Arabidopsis thaliana: one gene and its partner. The protein of the gene in region 1 interacts with the protein of each later gene in a pairwise test. Each region holds a gene or a part of one and is shown on either strand. Other genes may lie near its edges.

Region 1 (7,805 bases):
CAAGCCGGTTTAAGTTTCATAACGTTTAGAGAGAAAAGGAACTCTTTTGTAGAAAGAGAGAGAGCCTTTGTAGGTAAAGTTGCTTTCTTCTTTTATGACTTGTTCAGTGTTTTAGCTTTTTTTTTTGTGGATGAGACCACGATTTGTTGTAACGATCCTAATTGGGTTTTTAGGTTGCGTCATGTTTGTGTGTAGACAATGCAATGAGCATTCTTTTTCCTTTTATGATCTTGAATGGGTTCAACTTTTCATGGTGATGTGAATCTTTTAGTATGGATATTAATATTCGAATATTACAATATGATTATCTATGACATGGGAATATGGACTAACATGTGGGTGGATAAAACTCATATTTTTCTCGAATTCTGAAATTCTCTCAAACTTTTATTCAAGCGAGGAAGTTGTATTATATTTGGTTTTCTTCTCCTATTATGATAGTACAAGGATAACGATGGATATTGAAAAATTGACGGAAATGTATTCATTGTATTAGCAAAAGAAGAGGGTAAATTATGTGTCAAATAGTGATTTTAACTTCATAGTAACTTAAACTTTTTTTTGTCAATTTGTTGACATAATTTGCTTAATTCTTTTGAATTTGAAACATATGATGCAGCATTTTGGAGTTAGAATTTAAAACAGTGTAAATTTATGATTACTAAGAACCCCTTTTCTGATATTTTTATTCCATAATTAATGATTCTAGTAGTAGAGTAGTTGAAATTAAATTCTTGTACGGTCAAGTTTCTAGCACATTAGAAGAAGATCACCTAATTTTCAAAGAAATTTAATCGTAATCTTTATGATGCAAGAAAGACTTTATTTAAAGAATATTTCCTTTATTTTCTGGTTCCTTTATTAAATTAAAAGTATATATCATTATTCCTCACCGGCATAGCTTCGTTATAAAGGAAAGGAACAGAGTTTGCTTTTAAACAAAGAGAGAAAGAAAAAAAAGCTCAAAGAACTCAGAAGAAGAAGAAAGATGTATCATCAAGAACAACATCCTGTCGGTGCTCCTCCTCCCCAAGGTATTATCTCTTTTTCTTTAGTTTTGGATAGTTGGTTTATCTTCTTCGATCTGCTTGTTTAATTTGCTCTTGAATTTCGGTTTAAAGGGTATCCACCTAAGGACGGTTATCCTCCGGCCGGTTATCCTCCAGCCGGTTATCCACCGCCAGGATATGCTCAGGGATACCCTGCACAAGGTTATCCTCCGCCGCAGTACTCTCAAGCTCCGCAGCAGAAGCAAAACGCCGGTATGCTTGAAGGATGGTACGTTCTTGATCCCATCTTTTCTACTTTATATTAACTTTATTTTGGTTTCTTGTTTTGCTTTGTATTTAGGTTTTAGTGGAATAATACTGTATTAGTTAATATATGTCTTTGCTCTGTTCATAAATACGTCACAGTTTGGCTGCGCTCTGTTGTTGCTGTCTCTTGGATGCATGTTTCTGATCGGAGGATAATTATATACGTTGCCTCAGTCAACTTTTATTTCCTCATATATGTTATGTAATGTTCAACAATCTTTCTTCTGTTGTTATCTTCTTTCAATTCGAATTTTGGTATCTTATGTTTTATTGACTCCGACCATAATTATCTCTCTCTTTCATAATCCAATCACACGAATTCGAAATAAACCAGTAAAGAAGTGATCAGAAATCTTGATGAAATATCAAAGGAGTGTGTTTCATCATCATCATCATATTATTGTAATAAGTAAACATAGCCATGGATAATGGTTCTTTTCAACCAAAAAGCTCACAGATGCTAAAATAACAAAGAAACATGAGAATTAATATCAAATGAGGTTTCTTCTTTTGCTCGAGAAGAATTGGAAGAAGGTGTAACATCAGTTTTCTGGTTGAGGATTGCCTTTCCACTTGAAGTTGTCCGAGTAAGACTTGACCTGCAGTTAGATGTTAGATGATGAACAATCATGGGGTTAGGTTAAAACTTCAATCTAAAGAATGTTCTACCAAATAAATCAAAGGAATGAAAGAGACTATCGCTCGTCAAACTAGTAGCTAAATCTTAAACTAGAGGCACCAAACCATTTCTGATGAAGCAATATGAGTTAAGTTAAAGAATATCCTATCTATTTAACACAACATTCAAGGGTCGTTCCAGTGAATCTCCAGCTTTAGGGTTAAACACCTCATATGAGTAGAGCTCGTAAGTCATAATGCGGCATTAGCAAAAAGATAGTTACTAACCTTCAATAATGGTGTGTTGGGCTTCTTGACCTGCAATGATTTAGATGTAAGTTTTTCAGTACTCTGAATTCTATATTAAGGGATCTTAAAACAGAACCATCACAATGGTGATCGAAAAAAAAAAAAAACAGAACCATCACATTCTCATAAAATGTGAGTGAATGCGACCAGAAAAAAAAATGAGCTAAAAACGAAGAAGGAAACAACGTACCTTATAATCCCAACCATGACGCTCAGCAAAAGACTTAGCAGCTTCTTCAGAATCAAAAGCAAGAGCAGAGTCACCAACATTAGCATAGGGGTCACCTGTAGAAGTCCATCCCATCAACGGATTCTCCCACCTAGAAACATATGAATGCCATAGATAAGTGATGTCAATCGAAATCTAATCAACAAGTGATGGACTAGTACTAGTCACAAGCAGAAGACTTAAGTTTTGAAAAGATAGGAATTTTAAGGATAAGAATCATATTAGGACATAAAATGTGAGGAAAAGAGGATTATCTTAATCAAAAAGTAGCATACTTTAAGGTGGAGACGAAGTTAATCTTCCATTTTCCGAGTTTTCCAGATCCTGACTGGGTAGCTGTTCTAGCAGGTGAGTATATTATCACCTGTTAATTTCCAAATTCAATACTCTTAGCACTATTCGATTGACCAAAATCAAATCAAGAACACGATGTAGCTCAATTAAGACGATTCTCTGATCACGAACCCTAATTTTCTAAACTGAATTCGTAAGAAATCGAATGCTTATTTACCTTGCGAGAAAGATGCTCCTCTGGGATTCCGGAGACCTTACCGATCTCACCACGCTTGTAATCCGACTCAACCACCGCGTCAGTAGCGAAAGGTCGAGCAACACGCCGGAGCGTCGCCGCTATACGGATAGTCCTTTGAGTAGTAGCACAAAGCGCCATCGTCAATTAGAGAAATCTGGAAAATTGCTGAGCTTTTTGATTTCGCTTTGGTTTCTTCTACTTCTGTAGATTTTAGAAAGAAAAAAAAAACACATATTTCAATCTAGCCATCAAAATTTTATAAATTACGCTTTCGGTCTTACTATTATATGAAAAATCTTTAATAGCCCCTAAACTATCTGTGAGATTTAACAACGATAAATTTTATAGATACATTATTTTTAAAAAATAGTACTAGTATATTTTATTCAGCTTGATCCTATTCATTTAGTTGGTAGGTTTTATTGTGTAATTTGATAAACTTGAGGCAAATTTGTGAATGTGGAGAAATATAGGGTTACATCTTCCTTAGCTTGAATACAAAAGAAAAGCTCAAGTTTGTTTCTCGTTTCTATGGATATTCTTCTTCCTTATGCTAGCCTCTCTGGTCTTCTTCTTCTTCGTTCGTTTCAGCGAATCACATTTGATCTATGACACATCTATACAAGGAATTAGCTTTCATCATCAAGTCTCTCTCTCGAAAACTCTCCTTTGGTTTCGTTTGATCTGGCATGCTTCTTCTCCTCCTTCCTCCTTTCTGCTTCCTTCTCTGAATTTTCCATTTTTGTTTTTAATTTTCTACGATCGCCCCATTTGAATTTGGTTGATAATTTAGCTATCGCTTTAGATTGATGGCTGTATTTCCAAATTCCTGTTGATTTGCGACGTTGTTAATGGGCTTTGATCCTCTTTTTTTGGTTCGAGATTGCTCGAATCACTCATTTTTTTGTTGAATTGAGCTTTGGGGCGTATCTAATTTCTTTGGATTTGTGTAGTTACATTTTTATGTTGTGGCTTTGTGTATCTGCTGGATTTAGATGACCAAAATTTTGTATTGGATAAGAAATGTTCAACAATGGCTTTGATGTGGTTAAGTTTCGTACGATTTAACAGATTCTAATGTTAGCGTTCACATCTATTGGCAGAGAAAAGAAGAAATTCAAATATTGATAACTGTGGATGGGTGCACCAAAGCAGAAGTGGACACCGGAAGAAGAAGCAGCTCTTAAAGCTGGAGTTCTTAAGCATGGGACTGGGAAGTGGCGTACCATACTCTCGGATACTGAGTTTAGTTTAATCCTTAAGTCTCGCTCTAATGTTGATCTTAAGGTAATACAATATAATATGCTTTTTGGAGGTTGTGATCGCGTGTTTCGGACTAATCTTGATAGTTCAAGGCATAACAGGACAAATGGAGAAATATAAGCGTGACAGCTTTATGGGGTTCAAGGAAGAAGGCTAAACTTGCGCTTAAGAGGACTCCACCAGGTACTAAACAGGATGATAACAACACAGCTCTTACCATTGTGGCTTTGACTAATGATGATGAACGTGCAAAACCAACTTCCCCCGGAGGTTCTGGTGGTGGATCACCACGCACTTGTGCTTCTAAGAGATCAATTACAAGGTTTGGTTCCCTGACTTATGCACCACATAACGATTTTCTTGAGTTCATAAAGATTTGATCTTGCGCTATTGTCTGTTTTTGTAGTTTGGATAAGATCATCTTTGAGGCAATTACCAACTTGAGGGAACTACGCGGTTCTGACAGAACATCAATCTTTCTGTATATAGAGGTATTTCTACCATTGGGATTACATGTTTGGTTGGGGTTTGTTGCATACTTACTTAGTAGCTGTTAAATTTCAGGAGAATTTCAAGACTCCACCGAATATGAAAAGGCATGTCGCAGTACGATTAAAGCATTTATCATCGAATGGAACATTAGTTAAGGTAAACACACAACTTTTGATTCAAGATTCATGATCACTAACACTTCATTACTCTCAGAATTTTCAAAAATACTTACTTGGTGATTTCTCACTTTCAGATAAAGCACAAGTACAGGTTTTCTTCTAATTTTATTCCCGCAGGTGCAAGACAGAAGGCTCCTCAACTCTTTCTGGAAGGAAACAACAAGAAAGACCCAACAAAACCCGAGGAGAACGGTGCCAACAGTCTCACTAAATTCCGAGTAGACGGTGAATTATATATGATAAAAGGCATGACAGCTCAAGAAGCTGCAGAGGCTGCAGCAAGAGCAGTTGCAGAGGCAGAATTTGCTATCACAGAGGCTGAACAAGCAGCAAAAGAGGCAGAAAGAGCAGAAGCAGAAGCTGAAGCTGCTCAGATATTTGCAAAGGCAGCCATGAAAGCTTTGAAGTTCAGGATCCGTAATCATCCTTGGTGAAACAGAAAGAAATAGCCATCATGGGGAAGTTCTGTAACAAAGCAAGCCATAAAATATATATACTTAGTGGGTTTACTGGTTTCTTAAGAGTGCCGATCTTGAATCAGGCGATATCTCATCACCTGCAGAGTTTTTTAAGTTTCCAAACCTATCTGCTCTCTTTTTTTGGTTAGTAACAGTGTAAATCCGCAGTTTGATCATATGTATGTTCTTTCTCCGAATCTGAGATTCTGTATAACTGATCTTTTATTGTATGTGGATGATCTGTTTAGTAACCTTGAAACTATTTTGAAGTGAGATGAGTAAGCAAAAAAATTGAGATTTTGTTCTACTAAAGATTTTGAGGAAATTTACAAGCATTTTCATTCTTTCTTACTACTCTCTTCCCATTCTTTCAGAATGTCATAAACTGAAAGTGAATCAGAGTCGCTAGATTCTTCATCATCATCAATCTCGAGTTCTTCTAGACCCAACGTTTCGAGTTCAGTCTCTGTAAATTCCCAAGCTTCACCATTAGCACTATTATCATCTTCCATTGTTGTATCTTGCAGAAGCAAATCTTCCTCCGGTTTTTCGCCCTGACTTTGAGTTGTTACATCTACGGCTAACAATGGTTGTGCTGAAGAAGAAGAAGACCCACATCGAGATTTCAATGACTTTGAGAGGTTTGAGACCGTTGGTTCACTTACATAATCACACTCAATGAGATGATCCGAGAGCTTATGAAGATTATCTTGAGTAAGCCAGTCTTGATGCTCCTCAAAAAGATCAGTCCATTCTTCTTCACTAATCTGGAAAGATGCGAGAGCCACAGTGTTAATCAGTGTGATAGCTCTTTGGAAATCGCCTTTAGCTGTGGCATGACACAACAGTTCAGTGAAGAACAATGGGTGAGGGATTTCTCCATCTTCAAGTACTGCATCGAAGGCATGCTCTAGAAGACTCCACTGCATTAACAAACAAAATTAGACAACAGCTTATGCTTCCATAAACACTTAAACTAGACAAAGATTTGTTACCTTCCCGGCTCTTGATGCTTCTATCAGCATTGATGCATGTTTTGTTTGATCCATTTGGTAACCAGAAAGAACCATCGTTTGATACACATGTTCAAAGTATTCCCATTGCAGTGATCTAGCTGAAGCTTCAAGCATGAAGCTGTATGTATACTCGTTTGGAACTAAATGAGTCTCTTTTCTGCTGACAATCTCTTCAAACAATTCTTTAGCTTCTGAAAACATATCATTCCTTCCGTAAACTTTAAGCATCATGTTCGCAGTTCCTATATTCGGATCACATTTATCTTTCATATATTGGAATATAGCCATGCAATCATCAACATGACCACCGTTCAATGAAGCGGCTATGAGTCCTGTGAAGGTAATCTCGAGCGGCCTGCAATTTTCAAGTCTTTTCATCCTCCCCACCTGCATTAATGAATTATGAAGAAAGTTAATTTTGTGGGTTTCTCTGAGAAGCAAAAAGGGTAAAGTAGGAGGGAACTTGCTTCGAGCATTGCATCGCACCAACGCCCGTTGTTGCACAGACAGCATGCCAATTCATAGTAAACTGAACCCGTTCCTATAACTCCCTTTTGTTCCATATCTCTGACTGCTTCAACAGCTTCTTCGATCTTGCCTTCTCTCCAGAGAGCTCGGACAAGAACTGAGAATCAATCATACGCTATAAGAATCATATCACCTTATAGATACCAAAATGAAGTAACCTAAATATACAGAGAGAATCAATATTTACCCTTGTATGTGATTGCTTTTGGAGCTTCGCCACTGCTTTTCATCTTCCTAAAAAAATCGTGAACACGATCAAACTTCCCTGACTCCAGCATAACCTGTCAAAATGACATCTTAAGACCACCCTACATATTTGAGGGTACCCACAAATACTACACCACAGCAGTTCGTTTATGTTGGAAAAAAGAACGCTACCTCCATCGCAAGCCCATATGTAGCTCCATTAGGCCTCAAACCATTTTTTCTTAACTCTACAAATACCCATGAAACAGCCTTCCATTGGAGTGTTGGAACACAAGCGTTAAGAATCTGGGAACCAGTGAAGCCAAGAATTGATCACACAGCAATAAGATACAGTGATTCGCTGCATAGTGCATATAGATATTAAACGAAGTTTAAAACTCGGAAATGCTCACTTACAGCGTTGTATACAACCAAGTCAGGTTCAAGCACAGGATCCCAGTTCTTTTGCCGCAAATTCTTAGTTAGTTTAGTCGGTTTCTGCCTCATACGCTCGATTACTTTAAGCAACTCCTTCAATAAACCCGCTTGCCCAAGTGTTACAGCAATACAGTGGTACGCCGCCATATCAGGATATAACTGGCGATCACCCTAAAGTGACTAAGGAATGAGAGTTAATCCAAAAAACGCAAGATGCTATAGTACAACGATCATCTACATC
Region 2 (8,031 bases), on another chromosome or scaffold:
TATACACGATTATCATTTTCTCACTTCACACAATTCAACAAGTTTCCGGTTGGCCTTAGTTTTCAGGTTCAATTTTAAGTGTAAATTGACCATGAGAACACCTTCAAAACGTGACTTGGCAATGGCAGTTACCACAAAGAATCCAAACTTAGTATGGCTTTGATTTACTAGTGAATTATTTTGTATAGTCATATTCAATTATTTAATCGCAATAATATAATCATGAATTTGAACATTTTCATAGATATTTATCTTCAAATGTAGCAAAAAAAAAAGACTATCTAGAATTTATTCCAAGTTATCTAGAATTTTTCAGCTAAGAAAAACTTATACTATGTGACATTCTTGAACCAATCCTAATAGAACTAGTTGTTCATTGTTAGGTTTCGGCAAAGACAATGGGAAAACAATCTAGTGAGATTTGTGTCTTATACAACTCTGACGAATAAAGATACTTGAGACCTTTAATCATTGCGTGAGGTTTTCAATTTTGATACCTACAAATACAGCTAAGTCACTCCTTTATACAATCTTTGATGATCGAAGACTAAACTATCCTGAAGGTTCACTTCATTTGATCACTGATCCACATTTTAGTGTTTGGAACAATTGTGACTTTTAGGTCTAAAGAAGGAAATTTTTGGGTTATAATTTACATGCGTAGAAGAAAATATAACTATCGTGATCTATTAAATTTAAGTCTAATAATAGCTAGTGGTTACACATGTTTAGAATAACACATTAACTTCGTTTCTTGACTAATTTTACCTCAAAACAAAAAAGGTAACAATAATGTTATCCCATGAGAAGAGAAGCAAGAATCTCTCCCATGGTTTTCTCAGGCGTGTCTCCGTTGTCATCTACGTGAACTCCGGACTCTAGAACCGCCGCATCAAGAACTAGTTTCCGCTTCGCTATCTCGTAGATGTTCTCATCAACCGTCGATTTCGTCACCAGTCTGCACCAGCATTGCCAGAGTTAATACAGATATATGTGAGAATACAAAACAGAGCACACATAAACCAATCCAAACCACAATTTTGTTCTGAAAGTTATCTAAACTGATTCAAGGATTTAAAGCTCAAACCTGAAGATAGTGACTGGTTTTGTTTGACCAATACGATGGCAACGATCTTCAGCTTGCCGATCAATCTGTGGATTAAAATCCATATCGTGAATAATGACTGTATCCGCTCCGGTTAAATTAAGACCTTGTCCACCTGCTCGAGTTGACAAGAGACATGCGAATATCGACTTATCGTTGTTGAATGTGTCGACTATGGTTTGTCTATCTGTAACTTGAGTACTGTTGAAAACAAAAGGAAAATGACTTAAGCTTCTTCCTTTTTGTAGAATCGTCAAAAATGTGACAAATTACTCTTTTTTCTTTTATTACCTGCCGTCAAGTCTTCGGTATGTAACGCCGATGACATCAAGTGTCCATTCTAAGATATCGAGCATCGATGTCCATTGACTAAATATTAGAACACGATGGCCGGATTTCTTCATTGAAGGGAGAAGCTCAGCTAATGTCTGATACATAAAGGGAGATTTAGATCGCTCACAGGTTTAGTTATACTTAATCAGTTTCACAAAGAAGACTTATGAAATGAAGAAGAATATCACGTACCCGACATTTTGCTGAGAGCATGACATGTTTGTCTGAGAGAGTTCCTTTGGTATCGTTAACTCCATATTGGAACAAAAGCTATGGAAAGAAACAAGTTAGTTAGCTTCTTCAATTGCATAACATGTTTGTTAATGGATATTCAACTGCTTTTGGAAAGAGAAACATTTACCTGGTGGATACGGAAATCGTTGAAACCCTTAACTTCCTCGATAACTCTATCCAAGGAACATTCAAATCCAAATGCACCGATTGGGTGCAATTTCCTGGCGATGCGAATGACATCCTCATCGCTGTATATCCGCCTAATTAACAATGGATGGTTTGCAATCTGTACAACCAAAATTTAATAACACATGAATAACACACTCATTTGGCACAAAAGGGGCTTTGTATTAGTAGCTGAGAATTACCTTCCGGAATTGAGTAAAATAGTTTGAAATTTGACGCTTTGGAAGTGCCTTGGCTAAAGAATTCAAGGATTTTGATGAAAGCTTCACAAGCCGTGCTTGAGAAGCAGCACGATACTCCTCTATGGCTTCTTTATATGCATCTTCCTGCTTTCTCTCCATTAATACATATTCAACCTGCATTGGATTGATGGGAAATTAATGAGATTTGCAGCTAGAAGATTAATATCGTGTACTTAATTGTGCATAGATATATCCATACCCGCTGTATCTTCGGAACAAGTTGCTGCATGACATCAGATTTTAAACGCCTCAAGATGAAAGGACCTAAGATAGATTTCATTCGAGTAATCAACTCAGTATCTTCTGCATTCAACAACTTCTTCAAGTCAACATTCTCTGTCGTAAATATATCAGGCAACATGAACTCCAACAGCGACCATAGTTCCTGCATAGACCAAACATATGCAGGGAATAAGCATTGTATGACCACATGAAGAAATGTCGTCTATATTAGGTAATTAGATCCTGAAAAAATCAACAGAAACCAACCGTACATGCAAATCATTTTGTAGAGGCGTTCCTGTAAGCATAAGACGCTGGTTTGCGTTTCTGGCCACAGACATCAAGTTTTTCCACCTATAACTATTCTTATCCTTTAACGCATGGGCTTCATCCATCAAAACACAGCTCCAGCGCCACCGTTTCAGTACTTTTCGGTCATCTTTCTGTTGTTCACTGTAAAATTCCAACATCTGTGAGTAACAGGAAAAGCCAAAAAGCAAATAAAAGCATCAAGAGTTGCACCTATGCCGTTCAAACAGAGAGTAACACACAAGAAGCACATTGAATGGTGGTGGCTTCCCAGCTTTTGACAAAGAATTCAATTCTCTTGAGTAGGCTGCTCTCGCAGCTCCGTGGTATTGAAGTACAGTAAACGACGGACACCATTTTCTGAGCTCTCTCTCCCAGTTTTCCAAGACAGAGGCAGGGCATACAACCAAATGAGGACCAGGGTCATTGTTTAAGCGACTTAGGAGGGTTAAATATGTGATTGCCTAAGGTAAATGAGAACAAAATTAGTTCTTTATAAGATAAAGAAACAAAGAAAACTTATCCAGTAATAACAGAGCAAAATGCACCTGAATGGTCTTTCCAAGACCCATCTCATCGGCTAAAATGGCTACAAACAATAGAAAGTGAGTTACAAAGTGACATTCACGCTAAAAAGGTTTACAGATCGAAACTAGTAAAAACACATACCTCCTTCAATTCCTTTCTTATACAACAGAAGAAGAAAGTTAACACCAACTAACTGGTACGGCTTGAGTATAGGCTGAAAATCAGAATCCTCTGCTTTACATGCATCATCAATATCATTCTGCGATCATCACAGATTCAACCCAAAAGTAAACAAGTTTTAGTTAACAAAACAGTAAACTCTAACCAAACCAATCAAAGCTTACCACCAAAATATGCTATCTAATCAAAAGTTACTTCACAATTGTATAAGGAAGACACTCTAAATCGTCTCAAAGCAACTACTTTAAGAACACCAAAGTGATAATTTCCAGTACCTGTGTGACAATCCTGACAGTAGAAGTTTCAACTTCAGAGTATCTATCAGTAACACCAGAAGAAGTACCATAAAGCTCTTTTCGAAGATCCGCTGAGATTTTAGCACACTTTTGCAATGCCTTCCCCACAACATCTTCATCTTCTCCTCTCCTTCCTCCACTTCCTCCTCCTCCTCCTCCAAATTCATCCTCACTAGCACTACTCTCAGCCTCATCATCATCATCATCACTCGCTTCTTCATCTTCAATCACAAATCTCCTACCAACTCTCGCAGCGCGCATCACAACCTTAGTCTCTTCCACTTCTTCTTCATCCTCTAACAACAAATCCTCACCATTCACAATCTTCACATCCGAATCCGAATCTCCCAAATCCTCAATCTCAACACAATCACCATCGCTGCTATTACTCTCAATCGTCATCGCCGTCGAAGGTCTCCTAAACGCAAAAGACTCAATCGACGGCGTTGGATTCGTCGCCGCGCGAGTCTTCTTCGGAGTCCGTGGTCGTTTAAGAACTCGCGAAGCGTTAAACGAGTGTTGAGACCACTCTTCCTCGGAGATTTCGTCGAAATCGCGTTTCATCTTCCGAGAATTTACGAATCCCAGATTGAATTGAAATTGAGAAGAAGGGGAAAAAAAATTCACATGAAGAAAATTGAAAACCCTAGATTGAGATTGAAGTGACTATTATTGCATCGAATTGAAGAAGAAGAAGAAGATGAAATTAAAACGAATTTAGCGGAGAAGGAAGGGAAAGGTCAAGATTTCAAAGAAAGGTTAGAGACTCAACAACGTGTTGCTTCTTACAAAAGAGCGGCATCCTCCAAAAGCTATGCGCGCGGACTTAATCTCTTAATGGGCCCCAAGAAATGGGCTCTAATGAGTACTTAATGGTGAACTTAAGGGATCCGAAGAAATGGGCCCAACGACTTCACTTTCTCGACAAATCTAAAAGCTTGTGGTTTGTTTGACGCACTTGAAAAGGGTTTTTAAATCCATGGGGTTTGCTTGAAGATTTGGTTTTGAAATGATGGTTGAGGTGAGAAATTATTTGGTTGACATGTATTCATAATGTGGAAGAATCTGAGAGTGTGTTTCGTTGGATGGTGGATACTGGATAGGAGTCTTATAAGCTGGATATGTACATTGAGGGGTATGGTAATAGAGCTTTGGCTACGTTTGGAATGTTGCGGTAAAGATAACCTCGTCGTTCTCGATCTTAATCCTCATTCTACAGGTTATTATCATTTGTATATATATGTTTACTAGCTAATCCATTAACTCTGAAAATTAATATTAACTCTCGGAATGGCAGAAACAGAGTTGTTATTGAGTTTCTCTGACCTTGCCATCTTGGTGACGGCAGTTTCAAATACTAAATATTTCCATACAATTTTGGTTCATCTAAAACAACTGGGTCTTGGGCTGTTTGTGGTATATCTCTCCTTATATAGGCTCTTTTGTGTGCGTGACTGTGTGCTATTTCATATTACTAACTTGAAATCATATTACAACCCAATCAGGGAGGCCCTGATTGAATATGGCCCGGCACTGACCCATTGCAGTTGGTACGATCTCAGTATAACTTAAAAAGCATCGATGGTAATGAAGAGAGGATCAAGTTGAGAAGTCACCTGTTACTTAAATATGTTGTCGTTTGTAAACTAAAATAAAACTAAATTGTATAAGATTAAAAAGCCCAAGTGAAAAGGAGAAAATCAAACTTTACGGTCGAATAATAATATATCAATAATATTTTCTCAAAGCTCTTAAAGTGATATTGGAGATTTTGTGATATATCGTTTTAAAATCTATTCAGATCGGTTGAGAGTTGGTTACTCGTTCAGGATTAATTAGGTTTGATTCAAAACCAATCGGTTCGATTGTTTTGCATTGAACATTCTGAAAGGTTGAAGAATTGAACCAAAGAAGAAAAGCAATATATTAATTTTCATACAAGAATCTAACAAATTTTAAAAAATTCTCTATTGATTGGTGTATCATGTGTATTAATATACGATATGTTATATTATAAACGATTTTATTAGATAAAAACAATTAAAAAAAAGTTAGTACAACAAAACCTAATCAAGTTAAATGAAGAGAAAACGAGGGTTTTGTCTTAAAGCTCACCAGAAAGATACGAATGAGAAAAATGTGGTACCCACAACACACCCCCGCATGTGGACACATTTCACCGTTTTAACAGTGACACCCAAACCGTAACCATCCTTCTTAATTCTGTCAAATTAAATTATAAGAAAGAAAAAAAGTAGCTTTATTTTATATTAATCGAAATAAAATAAAATGATAGAGACAGAGAGGGGACCTTAGAGACATACTTTTCAAGATCATTTCATATATGGCTTATTTTTAAAAGAAGAAGAACACAAAACAGTAGAGAGAGAAAGAGATATAGAGATAGAGAGAGATAGGGCTTTGAGGTTTGTGTTTGTATTATAATACATAATATATAGGAATAGTGTCTTCTTCTTCATCATCATCTTCTATCTCATCATCATCATCATGCATCATCTTCTTCTTGGTTCTTTCTTTAGCTCCGATTTATAGCTTTTAATTTTGACTATTTTTTTTCCTTCTTCTACTTGGTTTCTTTCTCTTGATCTCAGGTACAAGAAAAATACAACTTAGAAATCTTTCCTCTTAATTCTTTCAAAAGTTTAGGAACAAAAAACAAAAGTATAAACTCTTAATTTGTTTTTCTTTGTTTATGTCTTCTAGTGAAATGGTTTTTATAAAATTTCTTCATGTCGTCAATCTCTATGGATTTTTCCTGTTCTTATAATTCCTCCCTTCGTTTTCTTCTTAACTTTTTTGTCTTACGAATTATTTGTAGATTATTCTCTTCCACGCAAAGAAGAAGATCTAAAGATGTCGTCATCATCATATAACACAAGCGTTATTCCTTCATCATCATCCTCTGCTCAGCCTTTCTTCATCACCAGCTCCGGCACCGGAGATAACGACTTTAACCGGAAAGATACTTTTATGTCAATGATTCAACAACCTAACTCCTCAGCTCCACCACCCAAGAAACGAAGAAACCAACCCGGAAACCCAAGCAAGTATCTCTTACATATAAATCTCTATATATTTATCACCTTTCTATAAGAATCACTATATATAAGCTTTAAGATAATACCAAGAAGAAAAAGAACCCTAATCATTTGTTCTATTTTGTTTTGTATATCTAGCTAGTATCAAGATTTCATATATATTGACAGGCCAGTATATCTTATATGTTTATACGTGTATATGTCATTTGATTTATGTTTACATGTGTGTGTATCATTTTTTTCGATATAGTCTACATAGATTGACATTTTGGGTCTAATTGGTGACTTAATTTAAATGATTAAATTCTTTAATTATATGAAACAGATCCTGATGCGGAAGTGGTAGCATTATCTCCAAAGACACTAATGGCTACAAACAGATTCATATGCGATGTATGTAACAAAGGGTTTCAAAGAGAACAAAATCTACAGCTTCACCGAAGAGGACACAATCTCCCATGGAAGCTGAAACAAAAATCAACCAAAGAAGTGAAGAGGAAAGTGTATCTTTGTCCGGAGCCAACGTGCGTTCACCATGACCCGTCACGTGCTCTCGGAGACCTCACCGGAATCAAGAAGCATTATTACCGTAAACATGGCGAAAAGAAGTGGAAATGTGAGAAATGTTCTAAGCGTTACGCTGTTCAATCAGATTGGAAAGCTCACTCTAAGACTTGTGGTACTAAAGAGTATCGATGTGACTGTGGTACCATCTTCTCTAGGTAACTAATCTCTATCCATTTCATTTAAATAATTTGTTCGTATTTGATTTAAGTGATGAAACGTATAATATATGTGTCAGTGTGTGTGGCATCTAGATATACCTTCTTATCTTGGTAAAGTATAACAATTAATGGACCACCTTTATTTTGTATTATAATGCAAAACTATTCTAAGTAAAAGCTGCATTCAACACTGCATGTAAAACTTAGCTTATTTACTAATTTACATGGAAAATACCAAATATATATAACCATCTGTGACTGAAATATTGTATATTTGGCCACGGAATTTGAACCTCGAGTACACCGCCTATAAATTGTATGTAGTCACAATGTACATAGGATCTATCAATGTATTTGTTTGGTTGTTGATGAGTAGTGAATAGAGAAAGACAGTGAATAGAAAGTAAGAAAATTTAAAAGATGCTAAATTTGGTCACATACTCACATGCATGAGTTGGATTTTGTTTTTCTATTTTCTACTTTTGTTTTCTTCTTCTTCACTTTGCAGGTTCCCCTTTTTACGAAACTCCTCTTCATTTGTGGACCCTCTTCTTATCTCTTTCTCTCTCTATGTATGTTTATATATACGTACATAGATACATACATATTTGG

The links. Proteins that work in one complex are often made in the same cells at the same time.
Region 2: the proteins of TRB2 (region 1) and ETL1 interact in a two-hybrid assay, tested with the Arabidopsis thaliana proteins (one study listed by BioGRID).

What each region holds. Positions count from the first base shown.
Region 1 is NC_003076.8:26,953,410-26,961,214, reverse strand, and holds TRB2 (Homeodomain-like/winged-helix DNA-binding family protein), read left to right. Parts: upstream 1-3,440; 5' UTR 3,441-3,691; intron 3,692-4,107; 5' UTR 4,108-4,141; coding exon 4,142-4,291; intron 4,292-4,368; coding exon 4,369-4,589; intron 4,590-4,673; coding exon 4,674-4,758; intron 4,759-4,831; coding exon 4,832-4,915; intron 4,916-5,012; coding exon 5,013-5,372; 3' UTR 5,373-5,647; downstream 5,648-7,805. Other genes in the region: WIH1 (cysteine-rich TM module stress tolerance protein), read left to right, coding at 989-1,034, 1,122-1,278, 1,416-1,461; FRO1 (NADH-ubiquinone oxidoreductase-like protein), read right to left, coding at 1,859-1,915, 2,223-2,252, 2,434-2,563, 2,748-2,836, 2,984-3,142; DG1 (Tetratricopeptide repeat (TPR)-like superfamily protein), read right to left, coding at 5,735-6,319, 6,392-6,799, 6,880-7,037, 7,128-7,221, 7,319-7,432, 7,544-7,735. UniProt on the Arabidopsis thaliana protein: Binds preferentially double-stranded telomeric repeats, but it can also bind to the single G-rich telomeric strand.
Region 2 is NC_003071.7:519,649-527,679, reverse strand, and holds ETL1 (SNF2 domain-containing protein / helicase domain-containing protein), read right to left. Parts: upstream 4,458-8,031; 5' UTR 4,200-4,457; coding exon 3,615-4,199; intron 3,419-3,614; coding exon 3,301-3,418; intron 3,221-3,300; coding exon 3,180-3,220; intron 3,096-3,179; coding exon 2,845-3,095; intron 2,776-2,844; coding exon 2,595-2,775; intron 2,486-2,594; coding exon 2,300-2,485; intron 2,215-2,299; coding exon 2,041-2,214; intron 1,959-2,040; coding exon 1,800-1,958; intron 1,709-1,799; coding exon 1,631-1,708; intron 1,534-1,630; coding exon 1,397-1,533; intron 1,307-1,396; coding exon 1,088-1,306; intron 959-1,087; coding exon 796-958; 3' UTR 612-795; downstream 1-611. Other genes in the region: IDD4 (indeterminate(ID)-domain 4), read left to right, coding at 6,510-6,699, 7,020-7,416. UniProt on the Arabidopsis thaliana protein: DNA helicase that possesses intrinsic ATP-dependent nucleosome-remodeling activity and is both required for DNA repair and heterochromatin organization.